Nothobranchius furzeri: one gene and its partners. The protein of the gene in region 1 interacts with the protein of each later gene in a biochemical or structural test. Links are inferred from orthologs where the notes say so. Each region holds a gene or a part of one and is shown in the gene's direction. Other genes may lie near its edges. The genes, in order: dgkzb, sntb2, sntb1 and snta1.

Evidence for each region.
Region 2: the proteins of dgkzb (region 1) and sntb2 form a complex in vitro, tested with the Homo sapiens proteins (2 studies listed by BioGRID and IntAct, with this or other methods). The link is inferred for Nothobranchius furzeri from reciprocal best matches to the Homo sapiens genes DGKZ and SNTB2.
Region 3: the proteins of dgkzb (region 1) and sntb1 form a complex in vitro, tested with the Homo sapiens proteins (2 studies listed by BioGRID and IntAct, with this or other methods). The link is inferred for Nothobranchius furzeri from reciprocal best matches to the Homo sapiens genes DGKZ and SNTB1.
Region 4: the proteins of dgkzb (region 1) and snta1 form a complex in vitro, tested with the Homo sapiens proteins (2 studies listed by BioGRID and IntAct, with this or other methods). The link is inferred for Nothobranchius furzeri from reciprocal best matches to the Homo sapiens genes DGKZ and SNTA1.

Annotation. Positions count from the first base shown.
Region 1 is NC_091744.1:80,269,000-80,274,879, forward strand, and holds the start of dgkzb (diacylglycerol kinase zeta), read left to right. Parts: upstream 1-2,455; 5' UTR 2,456-2,537; coding exon 2,538-3,481; intron 3,482-5,155; coding exon 5,156-5,255; intron 5,256-5,880. UniProt on the Homo sapiens protein: Diacylglycerol kinase that converts diacylglycerol/DAG into phosphatidic acid/phosphatidate/PA and regulates the respective levels of these two bioactive lipids.
Region 2 is NC_091744.1:86,309,174-86,314,584, forward strand, and holds the start of sntb2 (beta-2-syntrophin), read left to right. Parts: upstream 1-2,052; 5' UTR 2,053-2,195; coding exon 2,196-2,892; intron 2,893-5,411. UniProt on the Homo sapiens protein: Adapter protein that binds to and probably organizes the subcellular localization of a variety of membrane proteins. May link various receptors to the actin cytoskeleton and the dystrophin glycoprotein complex.
Region 3 is NC_091745.1:41,748,181-41,753,532, reverse strand, and holds part of sntb1 (beta-1-syntrophin), read left to right. Parts: intron 1-2,832; coding exon 2,833-2,969; intron 2,970-3,057; coding exon 3,058-3,254; intron 3,255-5,352. UniProt on the Homo sapiens protein: Adapter protein that binds to and probably organizes the subcellular localization of a variety of membrane proteins. May link various receptors to the actin cytoskeleton and the dystrophin glycoprotein complex.
Region 4 is NC_091743.1:60,426,928-60,432,196, forward strand, and holds part of snta1 (alpha-1-syntrophin), read left to right. Parts: intron 1-131; coding exon 132-262; intron 263-605; coding exon 606-802; intron 803-3,801; coding exon 3,802-3,989; intron 3,990-5,269. UniProt on the Homo sapiens protein: Adapter protein that binds to and probably organizes the subcellular localization of a variety of membrane proteins. May link various receptors to the actin cytoskeleton and the extracellular matrix via the dystrophin glycoprotein complex.

The DNA of each region.
Region 1 (5,880 bases):
GACCTGAAGACCTAGACCTGGAACCAGGTGAAGATGAGGATTTTATCTGTTTTCATGACTTTGATCCTAAATCATCCAACCCAAGTGGTTCTGACCCAGGTGATCCTCTGATGTTTGGAACTGCAGAACGAGCTCAGATGGTGACGATAATCTTCTCAGGCAACACAATTAGGTCCAATTGGACCAGGAGCAGCTGATCTTTTAAGCTTCTTCCAGGTTTCAGATCAGTCTCTAATTTAAAGGACGGGCAGTCAAATCCACAACCTGACTCATGTGGTCCAGGAAGCTCCTTCTGGACCAGAAGAAGGAACCAGGGAAGGATCCTTTAACCAGAGCAGGCGGTTGGTCCCATGTTCAGAAGAAGCAGAAAGCTGACAACACAAACAAGAAGACCACAACCGAGAGGATAATGGCAATGGAACAGTCAGAACAGGAACCATCTTCAGGAGGACCAGGTTCCAGTGGGCTGAGCAGGTCCAAGCAGATGGACTTCCTGCTGGTTTCAGATCTCTAGCAGTTTGGGGGTTGGAACCTGAAACAGGTCTGGGATTGTCCTGGAAACCTTGATGGTTTCAGTTTGAGAGGATGGTCTCCATGGCGATGCTCAGATAGACAACATAATCAGACAAGTTCTGGACCAGGCTGAGCTGAGTGGGTTCGGAGTCTGGTAGGAACAAAGGTGTCCAGCAGAAGACAAAGATGAGTCAGAAAACGGCGTCCTGTCCCCATCTCTGGGTAATTGGATCCATAATGCAGCAGCTGATGGCCCTTGATGTGTTAATGAGGAGGTTCTGTTCATCAGAGCGGGTCCATTCATCTCAGGCCCTGGTGCTGAAGTGATCTGGGAAGAGAGAGAGAGGCCCTGGTGCTGAAGTGATCTGGGAAGGGAAGGGAGAGAGAGAGAGAGAGAGAGAGAGAGAGAGAGAGAGAGAGAGAGAGAGAGAGAGAGAGAGAGAGAGAGAGAGAGAGAGCCTCAGTGAGGATTTACCTTTCATCTCTACGACATCGCTGCTTCAGGTTGTATTCAGCTGAGATTCTGTTGTCGTTGTTGTTGTTGCTTTAAATTCAATCACAAACCTTTATTTAATCTGTTAGTTTCACACAGAACCAACTTTTATTTTTTGAGTCTGGATGAATGTTTGTCAGAAATCAGCTTGCGTTGCTGCTGAGTAGAGAGGCTTCCTACTCAGAACCGCGAATAGAGCAAAACCGGGCCTTGGGGTGACTTTTGGGCCGGTTTAGAAATCAGACGACAAACTCAAGAAAAGTTTATTCAAATTCTAAAATATTGGAGACAGCAGAAGTTTACGTGTGTGTGTGTGTGTGTGTGTGTGTGTGTGTGTGTGTGTGTGTGTGTGAGCATGAGTGTGTGTGCATGCATGTATGTGGGTGTGAATCTGAATGTGTGTGTGTGTGTGCTTGTGTGTGTGTGCATGCATGCGTGTGGGTGTGAATCTGAATGTGTGTGTGTGTGTGTCTTGCCCAAGGACACAGTGCCTGACACCCTGGGTTTGAACCAGCAACCCACTGATGACAGAGTGAAGACCTATAACAGTTGTCTCCCTAAAGCCTGGGTAATCCTCTAAACTAGTTCTGCTCCAGAACCACCTGAGACCGGGTCCAGCACACCTGGGTTGTTCTGGGAGGTCTGGTTGTGTTCTGTAAGGTGTTAAAGCAGAACGTAAACAGGAAGTGAACAGCTTGTTCTCCTGGTTTTTCATGAATTGTAAAGTTTCTTGAAAAAATCCTGAACAGATCCGGGTCAGAACCGGGACTGAGTCACCTGCCGAAAATTAAGTAGACATGTGAGTTGGGTTCTAAATCCATCTGACAGCTGACACGGTGTTGGAAGGCAGCAGGTGTCTGAGTACTGTTGTTGTTGCTGGTCGATGACCGCTTCCTGTTGTCACAGTGCTTCTGCTGCCACACTTCCTGTTGGCGATCAATAATTCATGTTGCCTTGGTCCTAGCAGCTTAAACGAATCAGATGTCACGGTACCAGAAGACGGTCCTCACTCCGTCACAAGAGACAAACCCACCAATGGTTCTGAGAGCCAGAAGTTCTGTTTCCTAAATGGGTTCTCGCCTGCAGGAAGTGGGAAAGCAGAAATGGGTTCAGTCCAACCCAGTGTGTGAGTTCTGCTGTTTAAACCCAGAGAGTGGTTCTGGTGGTCCACGTATCCAGCTGGTTCTGGTCTCAGCTCTGGTGACTTCCTCAGAGGTTCTGATGGAAGTGTGTGTGTGTGTGTGTGTGTGTGTGTGTGTGTGTGTGTGTGTGTGTGTGTGTGTGTGTGTGTGTGTGTGTGTGTGTGTGTGTGTGTGACAGAAAAACCTACAATGGTCACTGAAATAACCTGAATTTGACAAAAGTTCTAATAAAATTTCAGCCGCTCTTCAATGGAATTATATAAAAAAAACTCGTACTTGTAAAACTGAGCTTGTGACCTTTGAACCTTTTAGGCTAACGGATTTCTGCTCCAACAGCACAGAAGAACCTTCCACAGTCCGGGTCGTTTGGATTTGCCTCTGAAACCAACATGGAAACGTTTTTCTGTCGTCACTTTAAGAGGAAGGAAGCAGCGCTGCAGGGGGAGATGGACGCCCCCACCCGCCGCCAGCGGAGGCCCAGCGTTGCTGTCCCTACCAGCAAGGCTCGTCGGAGGTCCAGCGCTGGTCTTCCTTCCTCTGCTTTGACCCAGCGGCGCCGCTCTAGCATCCAGATTCATCCAGGGCTTCCCTGTGCTGGCGGCGGTGACCTGGCGACAACGCCTCATCACGGCAGGGTGAGACCTGTCCGCAGGCGCTCCAGCACCACCACCCCCTCCCTGAACCCGAGGTTTGCTGTGCAGCGCAGGAAGGTGAGGAAGCTGCAGACCATCGACACCCATCTGCTGGGTCCGTCCATGCTGCTCGCCAGCCTGATCCGGATGGCTGAGGAGGAGGAGGGTGAAGGTGCGCTGGGGCCGGGGTTATCGACTGGAGAGCAGCAAGTGGAAGTTAGAGGCGGGGCTAATAATGAGGGATCATTTTCATGCTCCAGCAGCCTCCTATACGACAGAGGTGAAGACAGTGACAATTACTCCCCCAACAGCAGCCAATCGGAAAGCAGCCAGCTGTCTGAGGCAGAGCAACTGCCAGAAGAAGAGACTGACTCTTCCCGATTCCTTGCCTATCCAGCCTCCATCCCCTCCTCCGTCTGCTCCTTGCAGGTGCTAAGGAACCCGCCCCAGGTTGTCTCTCAGTCACGGCCCCTGCTCCGGGCCCCTCGCTGCCTCCGCAGGAACTCCTCCTGCCATCAAGCCTCCAGTCAGATGAAGAGGAGGAAGATCTCCACCATCTCCAAAGCCGGGAGCCCATGGCCAGGGAGGGGCCGCAAGCACTCTGTGTACTACCTCCATCATCCAGCCTTCTACAGGGGCCATGGGGCCCTCAGCCCCCTGGGGGCCCATGGCTATGAAACCAGCTTGAGTGCTCTCCTGCTGTATGTAGTCCCACTGCTGCTCGTCTCACTCAGTCCACGGGTCAGAACATGTGGTTCTGGTTCTAATGAAGCATCAGCAGGGTGTCATCGTCTGAAAAATAACCATAAAACACACGAAGGTTCTTTACATGTTCCCTTTAAACAATCAGGCTCCGCCTACTGTTCCACATCTAGAAACAGATTTTGATTGGATGTTCAGGCTTAGAGGATGAAAGTTGATTTTTTTCAATTTGAATTAAAGAAAGAACAAAACGTAAATTTGTTTTAACGTCAAAATTTATTAATATTTTTTCATGATTATCTTCATAATCATTTATATAATAGTCATTTCTTTGTTATGACAATTATTATAAATAACTTAATATTCTTTTCATTATTATATTTTTTATTTATAATATTATTGTCATGACTTTATTATTATTTTTATTGTCATTATTTTATTATTATTAATCATTTCATTTATTCATTTATGGAGCACCTTCCACGACCTTTAGCAGACGCCCAAGGTGCCGAGCACAACAGTACAAAGCAATCGAAAAATAAACACAACCAAAAGATTAGCCTCTGTCGGTGCGCCCCAAGGCAGCTGTGGCTACATCGTAGCTCATCACCATCAGTGTGTGAATGGATGAATGATACACTGTACGGTAAAGCGCTTTGGAGTCCTTACTCTGAGAGGCGCTATACAAGTGTGGGTCATTTATCATTTACAAATAAATAAAAACAGTAAAAACGGCATAAAAACAGGTAAAACACAACAATTAAAACCAAGACAAAATTACAGAGCCTAGTGGTGAAAATGCCTGGACATAATAATGGGCCTTCAGACGTGGCTTTAAACATCTGAAAGGAAGGTGCCAGCCTAACAGTCAAAGGTAGACTGTTCCACAAAGTTGCAGCAAGGACTGCAAAAGCACGATCTCCCCTCGACTTGCATCTGGATTGAGGGACCACCAATAATACGTGGTCACCAGAGAGAAGAGAGCGGGTGGGAACGAGCCTTTGCAGAAGTGCTGATAAACTCTGGTCCTCTGCGTCTGAGTCAGGTGTCTGACTAGCTGAGCTATCCATTTGACATTTGAATGTTAATACTCTTCAGAACCCGATGGAGCAGAGCGGAGTTTGTGCTCCACCCACTGGGGTTGTGACATCACCCTGTTAGTTTTAGGCTGCTTTTTTTCCATCTTCTGCTGATTCACAGCGGTTTGAATGCAGAAATACTCAGAAATACAATTTTGAGCTTAAATTTCTTTAGATGTGACCTGTAGCATAAGAAAAATGTCTCAAGAATATGTCAAAAACACGATTTCGTAAGCGTGGGTCTTTTAAATATGATCTCGTGTTTTCTTCATACCACAAACTCAGCTTATCCATATCAACACGTTTGAATTTTCCTCGTTTATTTTGTGCAAAATCATCTAAAAAGGATCAAAACTAAAGACCTTTAGATAAAACATCAGATTATTTAATAAAAAAAACTTAAACTCTCAAACTTTAAATTTGAATAAGAACAAAGCTGCAGGTTTTAATCATGGAAGCAGATTCATTTAGTTATGAACAAACTCTAAAGCCAAACTGGACCGCTTACATTTAACCTGATTGTTTTGTGTTAAATTAGATTTTTTACAATAACTGACAGAATTAAATGTTTAAGATGTTTTTTTCTCTTTGCAGGAAAGCGATCACCAAGTCGAGTCTTCAGAACATTCAGCCCAACATGTCTACATTGGGACAGACGGACCTGCTGCAGCCCAACAGTAACATCGACTGGACTGTAAGTAACCAGCAGAAGTTACAGACGTTTTCCCAGCAGAGTTCTATAAAGAATTCTGGATCATTCTGGCTCCAACATTCTTCAGAATGGTGAGGGAAATCTGAGAGAGCGGCAGATTACAGCCAAACATGAATTCAGCCAATATTAGTCTTGTTAAAACCAGGCAAAGACCCTGCATTTCCTTCCATTTATCGCCCAATTTCCCATATTAATATTGATCTCAAAATAATTTGTAAAGCCCTGGCAAAAAGATTAGAGAGGGTAACCCCTTTCATAAAACACCCTGACCAAACTGGTTTCATTAAGGGTAGACAGTCATCCACAAACTCACGTAGATTACTTAATTTGATAGATTTCTCTTGCAGTAGAAACATAGAAACTAGTATATTATCTCTAGATGCAGAAAAGGCTTTTGATGGGGTTAACTGGAAGGTCTTATTTGCAACTTTACATAAATTTGGTTTAGGAACTTCTTCATAAACTGGCTACAAACATTATACAGTTCGCCAACTGCATGTGTCAGGACAAACGACCAAATATCAGCTAGCTTCTGTCTTCAGCGGGGGACCAGGCAGGGATGCCCACTCTCCCCCTCACAGTTTGCTATATTTATCAAACCACTAGC
Region 2 (5,411 bases), about 6.0 Mb from region 1:
TAAATACATTCAACTGTGTTCACTTATTATCACACCCAAGTCTTCCTCTCATCAGCAACCTAAAACCATCTCACTCTTCACTGTAGCACCTCAGCAGGTCTGGCTCTCCCTGTCTCACCCTCAGCAGGACTGGCTCTGCCTGTCTCACCCTCAGCAGGACTGGCTCTGCCTGTCTCACCCTCAGCAGGACTGGCTCTCCCTGTCTCACCCTCAGCAGGACTGGCTCTGCCTGTCTCACCCTCAGCAGGACTGGCTCTGCCTGTCTCACCCTCAGCAGGACTGGCTCTCCCTGTCTCACCCTCAGCAGGTATGGCTCTCCCTGTCTCACCCTCAGCAGGACTGGCTCTGCCTGTCTCACCCTCAGCAGGACTGGCTCTGCCTGTCTCACCCTCAGCAGGTATGGCTCTCTCTGTCTCACCCTCAGCAGGTATGGCTCTCCCTGTCTCACCCTCAGCAGGTATGGCTCTCCCTGTCTCACCCTCAGCAGGACTGGCCCTGCCTGTCTCACCCTCAGCAGGCCTGGCCCTGCCTGTCTCACCCTCAGGAGGTTCCTGCTGAACTTCCTCTGATCTCTAGTACAAAAACAGTGGACATTACTGTTGGAGGACTAGTGCAACATTAAAATCATGGTTGTTATAGTGTTATTTAGTCGTGTTCACTTGTTATCATGCTCGAATCTTCCTCTCATCATCAACCATCTAAAATCTCACTCTTCATTGTAGCACCTACCTGCACCTCAGCAGGTCTGGTGCTCCCTGTCTCACCCTCAGCAGGTATGGCTCTCCCTGTCTCACCCTCAGCAGGTATGGCTCTCCCTGTCTCACCCTCAGCAGGTATGGCTCTCCCTGTCTCACCCTCAGCAGGTCTGGTGCTCCCTGTCTCACCCTCAGCAGGTATGACTCTCCCTGTCTCACCCTCAGCAGGTATGGCTCTCCCTGTCTCACCCTCAGCAGGTATGGCTCTCCCCGTCTCACCCTCAGCAGGACTGGCGCTGCCTGTCTCACCCTCAGCAGGTATGGCTCTGCCTGTCTCACCCTCAGCAGGTCTGGCACTGCCTGTCTCACCTTCTTCATCATTTTGCTGCTGAACTTCCTCTGGTCTCTCATATGAAAAAAGTGACATGAATAAGGTTTAAAAATAAAATGTGATGAGAATGTCACAAACAAGCAACAATCACATTTACAAACTCCATTTTTATGTGGAGATTCTACTTTATTTATTTCGTGTCAAATGGTTTTTGTCTGTTACTGTAAAATCGTGTTAAATTCGCCATTTTTTGTTGACTAGTAGTGTTGTTTAACGTTTAATGCTGCCTAGCAAGATGTTTACGTTAGTCAGCCAGTCTAACGTTTGACCAGAAATACAATTATCCTCTTGGACTAAATTATTACCGAGTCACAATTCCTTTCTTTCTCTTATTGCCCATGAGAAGAAGCTGTTGTCGTCCAGGTCCCGCTCCTGTCTAACTCCCTGAGGGGAGGGGCTGTGTCAGTGAGAAGTCTGCAGCGTCTTTCAAAATAAAAGCTCACGAGTCAAATATTTCAAAATCAATTTTTTTCTTCTCCGTGTTATTGGGGGGGACAAATGCGCGTTTGTCCAATATTGGAGGGGACACGTCCCCCCCACCCCCCACCCCCGGTTCCTACGCCCTTGATGCATTCCGTATATTAGTAATTGCGTTTATAAACCATTAGCAAAACAATTTATTCTAAATAAAATATTCTTGCTCATATTACACCTATTACACACAGGACCACAAATCATGATAACACACACACACACACACACACACACACACACACACACACACACACACACACACACACACACACACACACACACACATCGAGAGTGTAATATGGGCTACATTGTTTTATTTTGAAAGGCCTAAACGGATGTGTCTTTGTTGTAGCTATGCTAGCTTTCCGGTGAGGTTGGACAGCTTTACGGAATCGGATTGAACTCCTCAGCAAGACCTCCGAGGCTGCCCCGTAGCAGCCGCTTCTCCTCCTCCCCCTGTTTTGTGGGAGTCCCGTGTTTCTCCCCCCTCTCTCCCTCTCCTCGGCGGGAGTGGGTGTGTCGATGCGAGCCAGTGCTGCCGCTTGTGCGCACTCACAAAAAAAGAGAGGAAAAAGTTGACGATGAGTTTAGAGTAGCGGCGGCCCGCCTCGGAGCAGGCTAACGACAGTCCAGGAATGGCAATTTGGACCAGAGCGGATAAAAATGGTCAGCTGGACCTTCTGCTTCGGGACCGCTGGATCCGAGTGGCTGCAGAACTCACACGGGAGACGCTGACTCTAACAGCCGAATCGGAGGTGACCGGACAGGCGGGCAACCACTGGGACTGCTCTTCGGCTGGCCTGCGAAATGGCATGTCGAACGGAAATGATCCGGGAACGAGTGTGGGGATCCCTGGCCGCCGTTCGTCCTCAGGTCAAGACCAGCTTCAGAACCACGGGGTGCGAGGGCGCAGTAGCAGCCCGGGTCGAGGAGGCGTCAACCGCGGCCAGTACAGCCCTGGAAAGTACCCGATTAACGGCACAAACTCTGACTTCGGAAGCCCCGGCTCTAGTTACGGTAGTCCAGGGTCAAGCTTTGGGTCGAGACAAGGCGATTTCCCGGTCAGCCTGGACGGGTCCTCCGAAGCTGTGCGTAAAGTCCGAGTAGTTAAACAAGAGTCTGGCGGGCTGGGGATCAGTATCAAAGGGGGGCGCGAGAACCGGATGCCCATCCTCATCTCCAAGATCTTCCCTGGACTCGCTGCAGACCAGAGCCGGGCTCTCCGGGTGGGCGACGCAATCCTGTCGGTGAACGGGACCGAGCTCCGGGAGGCAACGCATGACATGGCGGTCCAGGCGCTCAAGAAGGCGGGGAAAGAGGTGACGCTGGAGGGTGAGTTGGCCAACGCGAGAGCGCGGTTTTGAAAAGGCCTCCAGAGGTCCGACTGCACACCTATCCCTGTCACATCCATGCGCTGGCATCAGTGTCACTTCAGTTACTCTTTAAACACTAAAGGTATGCCTCAAATAACAATTCAGCTACAAACTATAATAAAATATTCCAAACTCAACAAGTTACCAGTGTGACGTAAGTCAGCTGATCCTTCATGAATAGCTGTCACACACGTTCATCTCGTTTGCAGCTTCCCAAAGCCAGGCGTGTTTGCTTTACACGTTAGAATTCAGACCCAAACAAACACGGTCTGTGTTGATCTATGAGCAGCAGAAGTGAGCTTAAATCAAATCAAATCAACACAAAGCCTTTGGTTGGTGTAAACACGAGTGCAACCAGAGTTGTGGTCAGGACCAGATACATTTCACTCTGGATGTTTGAACGACGGGCTTGTTGGAGATAAGAGGCCGCAGCAAACGTGACCAGATGAGATTTGTTTTTGTGTAAATGCACCAAAAAGCCCATAAAATAATAAAGGGCTTCTCTGTTTTTACGTTTTATCTTTGACATCAATGATTGTAATCTCATTTCTGATTGGCTGTGGATGATTCTATTTATGGCCAAATACATTTTAAACTCGCAAAGAAAATATAATCTGGCTTACCGAATGATATTCATCAGGTAAATACACAAATAACTAATGGAAAGTTGGGGGTTTTCTGGAGATATTCTGAGAAATAAAGATGTGTTTAATAGAAATGGACATTAGTCAAACTTCCATCCGTGTGCATTTTGAAAGTGCACATAACATTTTAGGTAAATGCTCGTCACGTGTGCAAAAAAAAAGTTGCTGAACGTGTCCTTATTCTGATTTAGTTTCATTAAAGCGGGTTTGTTTCGCTTTAGTAAAAACTACAACTGCTACTTTGTTGAATCCAGTCCTTCATCTTGGCCTTCTGGCATGAAGCAAGCAGTCTTGTTGATTTGCTTAAAATGAAAGTTCCCTAAATTACACTTTATTTTAACTCATTCGCTGCCAGCGTTTCTCACCGTTTTTACTGTTTTTTTAAGAGTGACAGAACGTTGCGCGCTAGGATGATGTCGACGCCAAAACAACCAAAACAAAGCAGAGACTCACCTCTTACATCAGGAAGAATCCGCGCGTTTCGAGCGTTTTCCGTTCTTTCGTAATCCGTTGTTGAATTGTGATCGGCAGAAGCTTTTCCGGTTCGCGCCTCACTTTTTTTACAGCAGCGTAGGGTTGTCACGATACTAAAATTTCAAACTCGATTCGATACTGGAAAAAAAACTCGATACTCGATTTTGATACTATTTAAAAACACCAATTTATTGAACACGTTTATTCAAAAAATAACATTCCTCAATTTATATTGCAAAAATTAAATGTTAAGAATTAAGTGTGTAAAGTGCTTAAACCTTTCAAGTATCAGCATTTTTTAAAACGTGCATACAAAAACACTTTAAATCATGAATTGTCTCACTATATAGACACTATTTGCAGAGTGATGTTTTGCTGCTTAAACTCTGTTTAAGGTGCATTTTTGTTATAAGATGTAATGCCATATGTTTTGTTCTGTACTTTTGAACAACTCTGTTGGTCAATAAAGGGAGAAAACGAATTTCTCCACAGTAGGACAAAGGTACATCTACCGGTAATCTTAATAAAAACAGATTGGCGAGCGGCAGTGACGTCATTAAAAGCGCCGGTTAGATTAGCCGCAGCTAGTCTGTTCACGCCTAGAAATCCCAGACCAGACCCGCTCCAAACGAACAGGGGAATCACGTTAATGATTCCTAACAAAACCTTTCGACATGAAGATGTCTTGGTGCAGATAATGTCTTATTTCGAGGCTGCACATGGGTGCCCATCCGCACCCGTTATATGGATATACGCTGACGGCGATTCGGCGATGGATCTAAATACCCCGGGGAATCCAAGCAGCACCAAAGTTGTCAGCGTGAGTAAACAAACGTACTGCATGCTAGAAATTAAGTCCGGGTTGCAATAAACGGGAGTTTCCTTTAAGCACATAAGCGTGAATATACAACTACGTGTCGGACTTGGTATGCTAATTAAGTTGGGCTGTGAAGCGCCTCCCAAATTCGCTGTTTATGTTTTTGTTTATTTATTTGGCAGACAAAACTTGGATCGGAGACAACTCGCGTGGGAAATTGCAATGTAGCCATGCGGCGTCTTCTTCTGTTTGTCTGGGAGGCGGAGGCTGCTTTACGGCATCTGGCTGTGGTGCGTGTCGGTGTACTTGAAGAAGGCTGTGTATAATAGTCCATAATATCGATACCACAGGGATGGAATATCTCATTTAGATACCACTTTTAGTATCGATTTATATCTGGGTATCGATTTTTTTGACAACACTACAGCAGCGGCCCAAAAACGATCTCCTAACACTGGATGTTCTGCTTCCTGGTCACGTGACGTGTGACGTACGCGGATGAAGCTCGGCTTCAGAGCTGAGATGTTTGTTCTCTCGGCGCGG
Region 3 (5,352 bases), on another chromosome or scaffold:
ATACAAAAAAATGTCGACCTTCAAATAATTATGTTCAGTTATGCACTCAATACTTGGTCGGGAATCCTTTTGCAGAAATGACTGCTTCAATGCGGCGTGGCATGGAGGCAATCAGCCTGTGGCACTGCTGAGGTGTTATGGAGGCCCAGGATGCTTCGATAGCGGCCTTAAGCTCATCCAGAGTGTTGGGTCTTGCGTCTCTCAACTTTCTCTTCACAATATCCCACAGATTCTCTACGGGGTTCAGGTCAGGAAAGTTGGCAGGCCAGTTGAGCGCAGTAACACCATGGTCAGTAAACCATTTAGCAGTGGCTTTGGCACTGTGAGCAGGTGCCAGGTCGTGCTGAAAAATGAAATCTTCATCTCCATAAAGCTTTTCAGCAGATGGAAGCATCTCCTGATAGCTAGCTGCACTGACCCTGCCCTTGATAAAACACAGTGGACCAACACCAGCAGCTGACGTGGCACCCCAGACCATCACTGACTGTGGGTACTTGACACTGGACTTCAGGCATTTTGGCATTTCCCTCTGCCCAGTCTTCCTCCAGACTCTGGCACCTTGATTTCTGAATGACATGCAAAATTTGCTTTCATCTGAAAAAAGTACTTTGGACCACTGAGCAACAGTCCAGTGCTGCTTCTCTGTAGCCCAGGTCAGGCGCTTCTGACGCTGTTTCTCGTGGCTTGACCTGGGGAATGCGGCACCTGTAGCCCATTTCCTGCATACTCCTGTACACTGTGGCTCCGGGGTCCACAGCATCACATGCGGTGTGCCTCAGGGTTCAATTCTAGGCCCAGTGCTTTTTAACCTCTATACAGTGGGGCAACAAAGTATTTAGTCAGCCACCGATTGTGCAAGTTGTCCCACTTAAAATGATGACAGAGGTCAGTAATTTTCATCATAGGTACACTTCAACTGTGAGAGACAGAATGTGAAAAAAAATCTATGAATTCAAATGGCAGGATTTTTAAAGAATTTATTTGTAAATCAGGGTGGAAAATAAGTATTTGGTCAATAACAAAAATTCAACTCAATACTTTGTAACATAACCTTTGTTGGCAACAACAGAGGTCAATGAAACGCTCTCCATTGGTAATAGGTATGATCATGGGCTCCCTTAAGACTTAAAATAGGGCAGCTAAGTAACTGTATAATATCTTTAATAAAATATTGTGTTCTTTTTTCAAGATTTAAAATAAACATTACTTTTAGTCACATTATTGCATCTTCTTATATTTTCACATATTTGTGTTGATTTTAAATGTATTTAGTGGCTTAAATTCTCTAATGTCAGTCTTATTTAGATACAGCATGCATGATCTGTGTTTAGCTATTTCTTTTCATTGACTGAGTTACAAGTGCAGCATATTTTAAAACCTTTTGCAAACTGCAGCAAATGAAGGACTTTTCAAATCCGGCTGTTTTAGAGAAATAGCTAATTTTATCATATAATTTACAGTTCAGTCCATGTCAGCTGTGTGCCTTAAAGAATTTGTATTTTTGGATTCAACATTGTTTTTTTATTGTGTAAATAGGGGAAATAATCCATGCTTGTATATGTGCATGTGTGGTTGCATCATGGGTTGCATGCTTCACACAAGCAAGCACAGACAGATAGAGCTTCACTCCTTTGTACATAATAAAACACCTGTGCAAACACACACACACACACACACACACACACACACACACACACACACACCTATATCTGTTTAATTTAGTCCTCACGCATTTGCCGATACTTTATCCTCCAAATGCGGTACAATACTGTTACTTAGCAACATATCCTCGTTATGTTAAAACGATGACCCTTAACCTTCTGAATCTCAGAGTGTGATTGGTTGAGGCAGAACTTCAAAGAGCAGCTTAGGATTCCAGATAAGCTCTCATTATGAGAATACTTCTGCAGCATTGTCACATAAAAAAACGCATGAATGTGCCTCTTTTTGTGTGTGTTTACACGTGTGTGTGTGTGTGTGTGTGTGTGTGTGTGTGTGTGTGTGTGTGTGTGTGTGCGCGCGCCCGCGTGTGTGTGTGTAAGTGGTACGCTTGTAGGTGAGTGAGTGAGGGGGCACAGCACAGCAGATGCATAAGTATAACTGCATCTGAACACCTTCCTTTTTAGCTCATTCCCTTTTGGATACACAATAGTGAATTTAAATACATGTTTTGGTGGAACCGACACACATTTTGCACACCAAACACACACACACACACACACACACACACACACACACACACACACACATCACCAGCCCTCTCTCTGATTTAAGTGTTTGTGAAAAAATATAAAAGAGCGTACTTCAGACTGTGCTGCAGGAAAGTAATCAAATTCAAAACAAGTGACCTGCCAGGATAAATTGTTTGGTTAATCTCTCGGCATTGCTTTGTCATGTGTTTGGTTATAATTATTCATTTGTCGAGGACCTTTCAAGTGTTTTTGTCTTTGTTAGGCCTCTATGCTCAAATTTGATTTGCAAATGGGAAGAAATGTCTCTCCCCTGTGAATTTTGTAATGACTATTAAAGTAACAGTTACATACGCACGCACGCACACACACACACACACGCTAGGAGTTCTGTAACCACTTTAATAAAGTGAAACAGTAACCCATTTAAGCAAACAGGAGGCTTTCTACAGGCTTTGGCAAGTTTTGTTTCATCTCACTATCCAGTGAACTAATCTGTTAATAAAACCACTGACCAGAAGAAAGAGCATTTTATTTATTTGTTTATTTCAGTTTTCATTTGAATCAAAGCCCTTCATTACTCAGCAGATGGGAGGATGGGAGCAGCTGTTCCCTCCTCATTGTTGATCTGTTTGTGTCGCAGACGGAGAGTGAGAAACAGAGCTGGAAGCCGGTGCTGGTGGTGGTGACGGAGAAAGACCTGTTGCTGTACGACAGCTTACCGAGAGGAAAAGAGGCCTGGCAGAGCCCGGCACACACCTTTCCACTTTTAGCCACACGGTGAGTCCAAAACAAAAAAAGCTGATTATGTGTGCTGAAAAATGTTTTCCTGCTTCTCCTCATCAAATGTGTGAATGGATGAATGTAGCCTTGTCCACTCCGGGCCTGACCGGGGTTCACCTCACTCCGGCACGGAGCTGTTCTTCGCCACTCGGACCGGCACACGACTTGGCATTGAAAGTCACCTTTTCCGAGCTGAGACCACCAAGGATCTGTCCCTTTGGACCAGGCACATAGTCAACGGATGCCACTCATCAGCTGAGATGATCAAAGAAGTCACAACAAGTGAGTCTCGAGACAATCGTTGTTCAGGTTCATCAAAACGGATGTTTTTAATATTGCTTCAGATGCACAGAAGCAGAAAAGCTCACAGGGATTTGCACCAGGTCACTTTGCTGGATTGAGCTACGCCTCCTATAAGCGCGTTCCAGCTTTCAGTGACATAAACCATCCGGGGAGATTTGAGGCCACAGCGCTAAGCACTGCCTTAGGTCAAGAAATCCTAAATCTACAATATAAAGCATCATGCTTACATACAGACTCCCACATCCCGGGAGACGGAGCGGGGTTTGAGATATAATGTGACAGCCAAATGGAGGATGCAGACAAAGCACTTACTATTTATAGGAAAGAATGATATTTAAGCATCAGCTCGTGCTGTTTGGTACAGAGTATTGGTCGTTTAGAGAATTGCGGCAAAATATCCCCACTCTTCCCTCGTGGCCGGCCTCATTCAGCACGGACCGTCCTGGGAAATGTTTTTCCTCCCCTGGGTCCCTCCTCCTTTGTGGAAAAGTCGGGTTCACCTCAGATTCTTCTATCTGGGAGGCAGCATGCGTCACAGCTTTACCTTTTTGTTGTCTGTTTAGTTTCTCTATCATTCATCATCTAACTCCTGGTCAACTTTGCACCGATTCAGGTGAAAAATGCATTCTCTAATTAGCGTGATGGAGTTTTGTGAACTTCTGCAAATTTTAACTCAAAACAAACTTCTGCAGCTTGGTGGTTGTGTATGACATTTGACTCTGGTGGCTGAAAGCCTGTCAAGGCTGGTAAGTATCTAGCAGCAGCAGCAGCAGTAATAGTAGTAGTAGTAGTAGTAGTAGTACCATTGGTGTGAGTAGTTAAGAACCATTCCATAACAACTTTATAGCACTAAAGCACCTGAAGGACCAAAGTGCTGTACACAGAACAATAAAAACAACAGAATCAACAATAAAACCAGAACCTAGAATAAAAAAACAGCAAGAAAGTAAAAACGATAAACTGAGCAGAATCAAATAGGGTTGAAAACAAACAAATAAAATGCAGTTAAAGCCGACATCTCGGATGGTGTCAAAACCAGAGAGATGAGGTGGGTCTTCAGCAGTGGTTTATCAGACATTTAAGAGGCCTGTCGGATATTTAAAGGAAGGTCTTTCCACAATCTAGGAGCTGCTGCAGCAAAAGCTCAATCTCGTCTAAGCTGGTGCTTCGTCTTTGGGACAGTCAGGAGCAGCTGATCAGCTGGCCTGAGGGAACGGGAGGAGATATATGGGTGTAGACGCTTAAGTAAGGTATGGTGGGGAAATGAGGAGATTTAAAAGCACATAAAATAATTTTTAAATGAATCCTAAAAGGAATTAGTGCAAAGAATACAGAACAAAGGAGATGTGATCAAGCTTCCCTGTTCTGGTTAAGAGGTGGGCAGCAGCATGTTGTACTCTCCGAAGCTGAGAGATGCAGGTGTCACTTAGTCCTACATGAAGACCATAGCATTAGTGCAGCCGAGTCGTAACAAAGGCGTGGAATAATCCTGGGACAGGATTGGCTTTGCCAGCTTCTTTAAATGTAAAAATCTAGATTTAACAAGCGATCTGATGTGGTTGTTGAGCGGAAACACTTCTTCTACTCCCGTTTGTGTTCATTCCGCGTGTCATTCCTATTGGAGATACGCTATCTCAGCTCCCGGGTAAATGAAAACATCTGTGAGCATTCGCAGGACTTTTATGTCAAGCTTCTGCAGAATTCTCTCTGTTTTTTTTTTTTTTTTTGTGCCAAACTGTGTTGGAGCATGCTGTGAACACAACCCTCAGATAGGACTATGGTGGTACTGGATTGTGGAGGATTTGAACATGTTGATGATGTTACAAAGCAGAGAGATTAGAGTCTATGGGAGACATTGTTTCATGTGTACAGCTGTGGAGCACTAGTTTAATCGATGCATTTGCAGTAGGAATGAATGTCGTACTCGGGTGGGAAAATAAGCTGAGGAAGTGCCTGTGTCAGCAGGGAGAAGTCAGCTGGAGATGTTTGGAGTCTTATTTCCTGATATTTGGAAATCTCTCCTCGGATTGGATAACAGCAACGCGACTGTACTACTGACTTGCAACGTGAATGTTTT
Region 4 (5,269 bases), on another chromosome or scaffold:
GAGAACAGTTACCCTGTCACATTGTTATTCATTGTTAATTCTTCTTTTTATGTCTGTGTGTGTGTGTGTGTGTGTGTGTGTGTGTGTGTGTGTGTGTGTGTGTGTGTGTGTGTGTGTGTGTGTGTGTGCAGGTGTCTCATGGTCCAGAGAGACCTGTTCTGGCTGTGTTGACAGAGAAGGACCTGCTCCTGTATCCAGCCTTTCCTGAAAGCAAAGAGATTATGATCAATCCCACCAAGAGACACCCACTCATCACCACCAGGTCCACACACACACATACCAGTCTCACCTACACACACACGCCCATGTTTTTATAGCAGATCTGTTTCCGCCTATAAGCATTTAAATTTTTTCCACTGGTTGGTTTTGGCCATAGGGTTCGTGCTCACACTTTCCATAACTGTAATCCTGAACATTTTGTCCAACAGCATCATCATCATTTGGAAAACGTTAATGTTAGCAGAACCTATGAGTCATGTATATTTTCCCTTCTATCTCTCAGTTTCACATTTTCCACCTCTAAACAGTTTTCTTCATCTCTAATCCCTAATTATTGTCTCTCTCTCAACCACAGTCTGGTGATATTTTCTTCTTTCTTCCTAAAGGTTGGTCCACTCCGGCCCAGGAAAAAGTTCTCCTCTTTTGGACTCTGAGCTGTCGTTCGGTCTGCGTTCGGGCACCAAGCAGGGCGTGGAGACGCACGTGTTCAGAGTGGGTTCTGCTAAGGAGCTGTCCACCTGGACTCATCTGCTGGTGGAGGGTTGCCACAACGCTGCTGAGCTCATCAAGGAGGTCACTGCAGGTGAACAGATCCGGTCAGAAATAGGTCTCTCTGCATTCATGCTCGGATTGCTCCCCCTAACTAATATAGGTCCAACGCAGGGGTCTACAACCTGCGGCTCTGGAACCACGAGTGGCTCTCTGGACCTTCCACTACGCCTCTTAATAACTTTGACAAAAAAATGATAAAAAAAGGAAATAAAAATCGTCGTCGTCTTCCTCCGCCTATCCGGGTCCGGGTCGCGGGGGCAGCATCCCAACTAGGGAGCCCCAGACCGTCCTCTCCCCTACCACCTCCACCAGTGGCAGGACCCCAAGGCGTTCCCGGACCAGATTGGAGATGTAACCTCTCCAACATGTCCTGGGTCGACCCGGGGGCCTCCTGCCGTCAGGACATGCCCGAAACACCTCCCCAGGGAGGCATCCAGGAGGCATCCTGATCAGATGCCCAAATCACCTCAACTGACTCCTTTTGATCCGGAGGAGCAGCGGTTCTACTCCCGAGTCCCTCCCGAATGTCCGAGCTCCTCACCCTATCTCTAAGGCTGAGCCCGGCCACCCTACGGAGGAAACTCATTTCGGCCGCTTGTATCCGCGATCTCGTTCTTTCGGTCATTACCCAAAGCTCATGACCATAGGTGAGGATTGGGACGTAGATCGACCGGTATATCGAGAGCCTGGCTTTCTGGCTCAGCTCCCTCTTTACCACGACAGATCGGGTCAGCGTTCGCATCACTGCAGATGCTGAACCAATCCGCCTGTTGATCTCCCGATCCCTCCTACCCTCACTCGTGAACAAGACCCCAAGATACTTAAACTCCTCCACTTGAGGTAGGACCTCTCCCCCGACCCGGAGTTGGCAAGCCACCCTTTTCCGGTCGAGAACCATGGTCTCAGATTTGGAGGTGCTGATCCTCATCCCAGCCGCTTCACACTCGGCCATGAACCTACCCAGCAAGAGCTGAAGGACAGAGCTGGATGAAGCTAGGAGGACCACATCATCCGCAAAAAGCAGAGAAAAGATTCTCCTGCCACCAAACTCGACACACTCCACACCACGGCTGCGCCTAGAAATTCTGTCCATAAAGGTAATGAACAGAACCGGTGACAAAGGCAGCCCTGGCGGAGTCCAACCCTCACCGAGAAGAGGTCCGACTTACTACCGGCTATGCGGACCAAACTCACGCTCCTCTGGTAAAGGGAACGAATGGCCCTTAACAGAAAGCCACCCACCCCATACTCCTGGAGCGTCCCCCACAGGGTGCCCCTGGGGACACGGTCATTAGCCTTCTCCAAATCCACAAAGCACATGTGGATTGGTTGGGCAAACTCCCATGCCCCCTCCATCACCCTTGCAAGGGTATAGAGCTGGTCCACAGTTCCACGGCCAGGACGAAAACCACATTGCTCCTCCTCTATCTGAGATTCAACTATCGATCGGACCCTCCTCTCCAGTACCTTGGAGTAGACCTTTCCAGGGAGGCTGACGAGTGTGATCCCCCTATAGTTGGAACACACCCTCTGGTCACCCTTCTTAAAGATGGGGACCACCACCCCGGTCTGCCACTCCACAGGAACTGCCCCCGATGACCACGCAATGTTGCAGAGACGTGTCAACCACGACAGCCCTACAGCATCCATAGCCTTGAGATACCCAGGACGAACCTCATCCGCCCCCGGGCTCCTCCGCTGTGTAGTTGTTTGACTACCTCAGCAACTTCTGCCCCAGAGATTGGACAGTCCATCCCCACTCCCCCGGCTCTGGCTCCTCCTCGGAATGCGTGTAGGTGGGATTGAGGAGCTTATCAAAGTTTTCCTTCCACCGCCCAACTAGTCTGTAGTCGGAAATAAAAATAAAATACTTTATTTGTCTGATATCAAAAAAGTTAAAGAAATGTGTAATCAACAGGGCTGTACCACACTGATGGTTTAAAAAAACTGGTTTTCGCTTTTTTCATGGAAAATTGCACTGAATTACTACAATGGAATGACAAAAAGACCAGTAGTTTTTTCAGGATAGAACTATTTATTTTTAAAGAATGACAAAAGTTCTCGAGAGGAGCCAGTTTAGTTGCATATGATTAGGATGTCTCCTGGATGCCTTTTTTGGTGAGGTGTTTGAAGCACATCCAACCGGGAGGAGACCTAAAGGAAGACCCAGGACATGCTGGAGGAGGAAGAAGAAGAAAATATCATTTCTATAGCGCCTCTCAAGATAAAAATCACGAGGCGCTCAGGAGGGACTATGTCTCTCAGCTGGCCAGGGAGCGCCTTAGGATTCCCCTGGGGGAGCTGGCCCAGGTGGCTGGGGAGAGGGAAATCTGGGCCTCTCTGCTTAGGCTGCTGCCCCCGTGACCCGACTCCAGAGAAGTGGACAGAAATGGATGGAGGGGCAAAAACTTCCCTGTAGTAGATTTTAAGAGAAGAGGATGAGGGCTACTCAAAAAGGTACAATTCTGATGATAATGTCAGCATTCTAACTTTGTTTTTAGTGTTTGTTTTCCAGTGGCCCTATATCTCTTGCGTAGATTTTTATCAAACGGTTTTCTCTTTGCAAAAGATCCTATAACAGTTGTGGTTCTAAACGAGTTATGTTTTGGTTGACTGAGGGGGAATGGGCTCTTTGGATTGTGAAGGTTTCAGTTCCTGGTCTAACCCACAGAACAAAATGATTTAAAGAAAATTCAAGTCCCATCCAAACATATTTGCCTGTTTGTACTGAACAGCTCTGCAGCACAGTTATTCGGACCTATTAGAGGTGCAGCGGTCAACCTACATAGCCTGGCAGCAATGTTGTTTTACTGCCACCTGCTGGTATTATTAGGCAACACAAGCACTTTTTACACTAACTGGTTTGACTTTGGTGTGGTGGAGGTTTTGATTCAAAAGCATTTGAAACTTTCTTGCAATAGAAATGAATTAGAATTTTTAGCATGATAAAATAAAACATAGAAGTGATTTGGAACATGTTGAATACTTGTTGAACTTTTATAAAACTGCTGTCTTTGCTCTCCACTGCAGACTGCAGCTGGAACGGAAAGGACTGCACTCTGGGAGTCCACATCAATGACGGTTTCACGCTATTCACAGAAGAAATGGGTGTCAGGAAGAATATTCTCCTCCAGCAGCCCTTCGAGCGCCTCCGAATGTCCTCGGATGATGGAGTTCGGATGATGTTCCTGGACTTTGGAGGCCCTGAGGCTGAGATTGTGAGCTGCCTCTTCTTGAATTTCATTAACATTATAATAGTGCAGTTAAAGCACGAAGAGTGAGATGCTAGACTGGAAATGTCAAACCTGAGAGGAGGATTGTGACTGGAGACAATCTGCTAAACTGATTTACACAGACACAGTGCATGTCGGGAAAAAATGAGTGTGAACCGTTGAGACGTGGTGATAGTGTCGCTAATATTTCATCATTTGTCGTGTTCAGTAATTAACTTTGTAGTACTCCATGTAGAGGTGTTAGCATTGCTAATGGAGTCAATAGAAGGTGCTAAAATCCACAGCACGGTGATTCTTAGACATGTAGAAAACCCTATAATAGCCAGTGGCTCGAGTCCTCTGACTGTTTAAAAAAATAAAATTAGCAAAAATAAAAGACCAAACACAAATGTTAAAGATGCAGCTCAATTTTAATTGGCTGCAGTGATACTAGAACCCTTAAATTTCCATCATACAGGTTTGTTAGTACAATTAAAAGCCAGTGGAAATAAACTGGTTTTAAGAGATTTGAAATGGTCAGTTTGAGATTATGAGGCGTGTAACTAGCAATCACAGACTTGCATTAATTTCTGTTTGAGTCCATGTTATGAGACAAATGATGTTGTTTACACCGAATCAGCCAAAGCCTGCTCTTCTCTAAACAGTGAACAACATAGTGATGCAGTGCAGTGGTTCACAACCTTTTTTACACCAGGAGCCCCTTGCCTGGGTGTTTAATCTTGTTAACCTCACAGACAAAATTATGGGGACCCCAGCAATCTTATGAAACCCCCATTAGGAAGTAGGGTTGTCACGGTGTGAAAATTTAATCTCACTGTTATTGTGACCAAAATTATCACGGTTTTCGGTATTATCGCAGTATTTTTTTAAATGCGTTACATTTTCAGACAATTAAATAAACCATATATCAGGAAAATTTTGTCCTCAGTTTGTGTCTAAATGTTGTCAAAAATTTGTTATTTTGTAATTATGTTGTTTGTTTACATTTTTCCTCTTTAGTCTTTAAAATACCAATATTTGCCCATAACTTCTTATTTTTTGTCTGTTTGATGTCATCATTTTAAAAATATTAGATCAGATGATACTCAGTACTCAAGTGGCCTTCTAATCAGATACTTTTTTACCCTTACTTGAGTAATAAACCCTATAACAGGAAAATATTGTCCTCGGCTTGAGTCCTTCCAGTGAGATTTGCAGATTTGGGAAAATGTCATCAGGCAGTAATCATTGTTAAATTCATAATTATTCTCGGAGAGAGACCAACT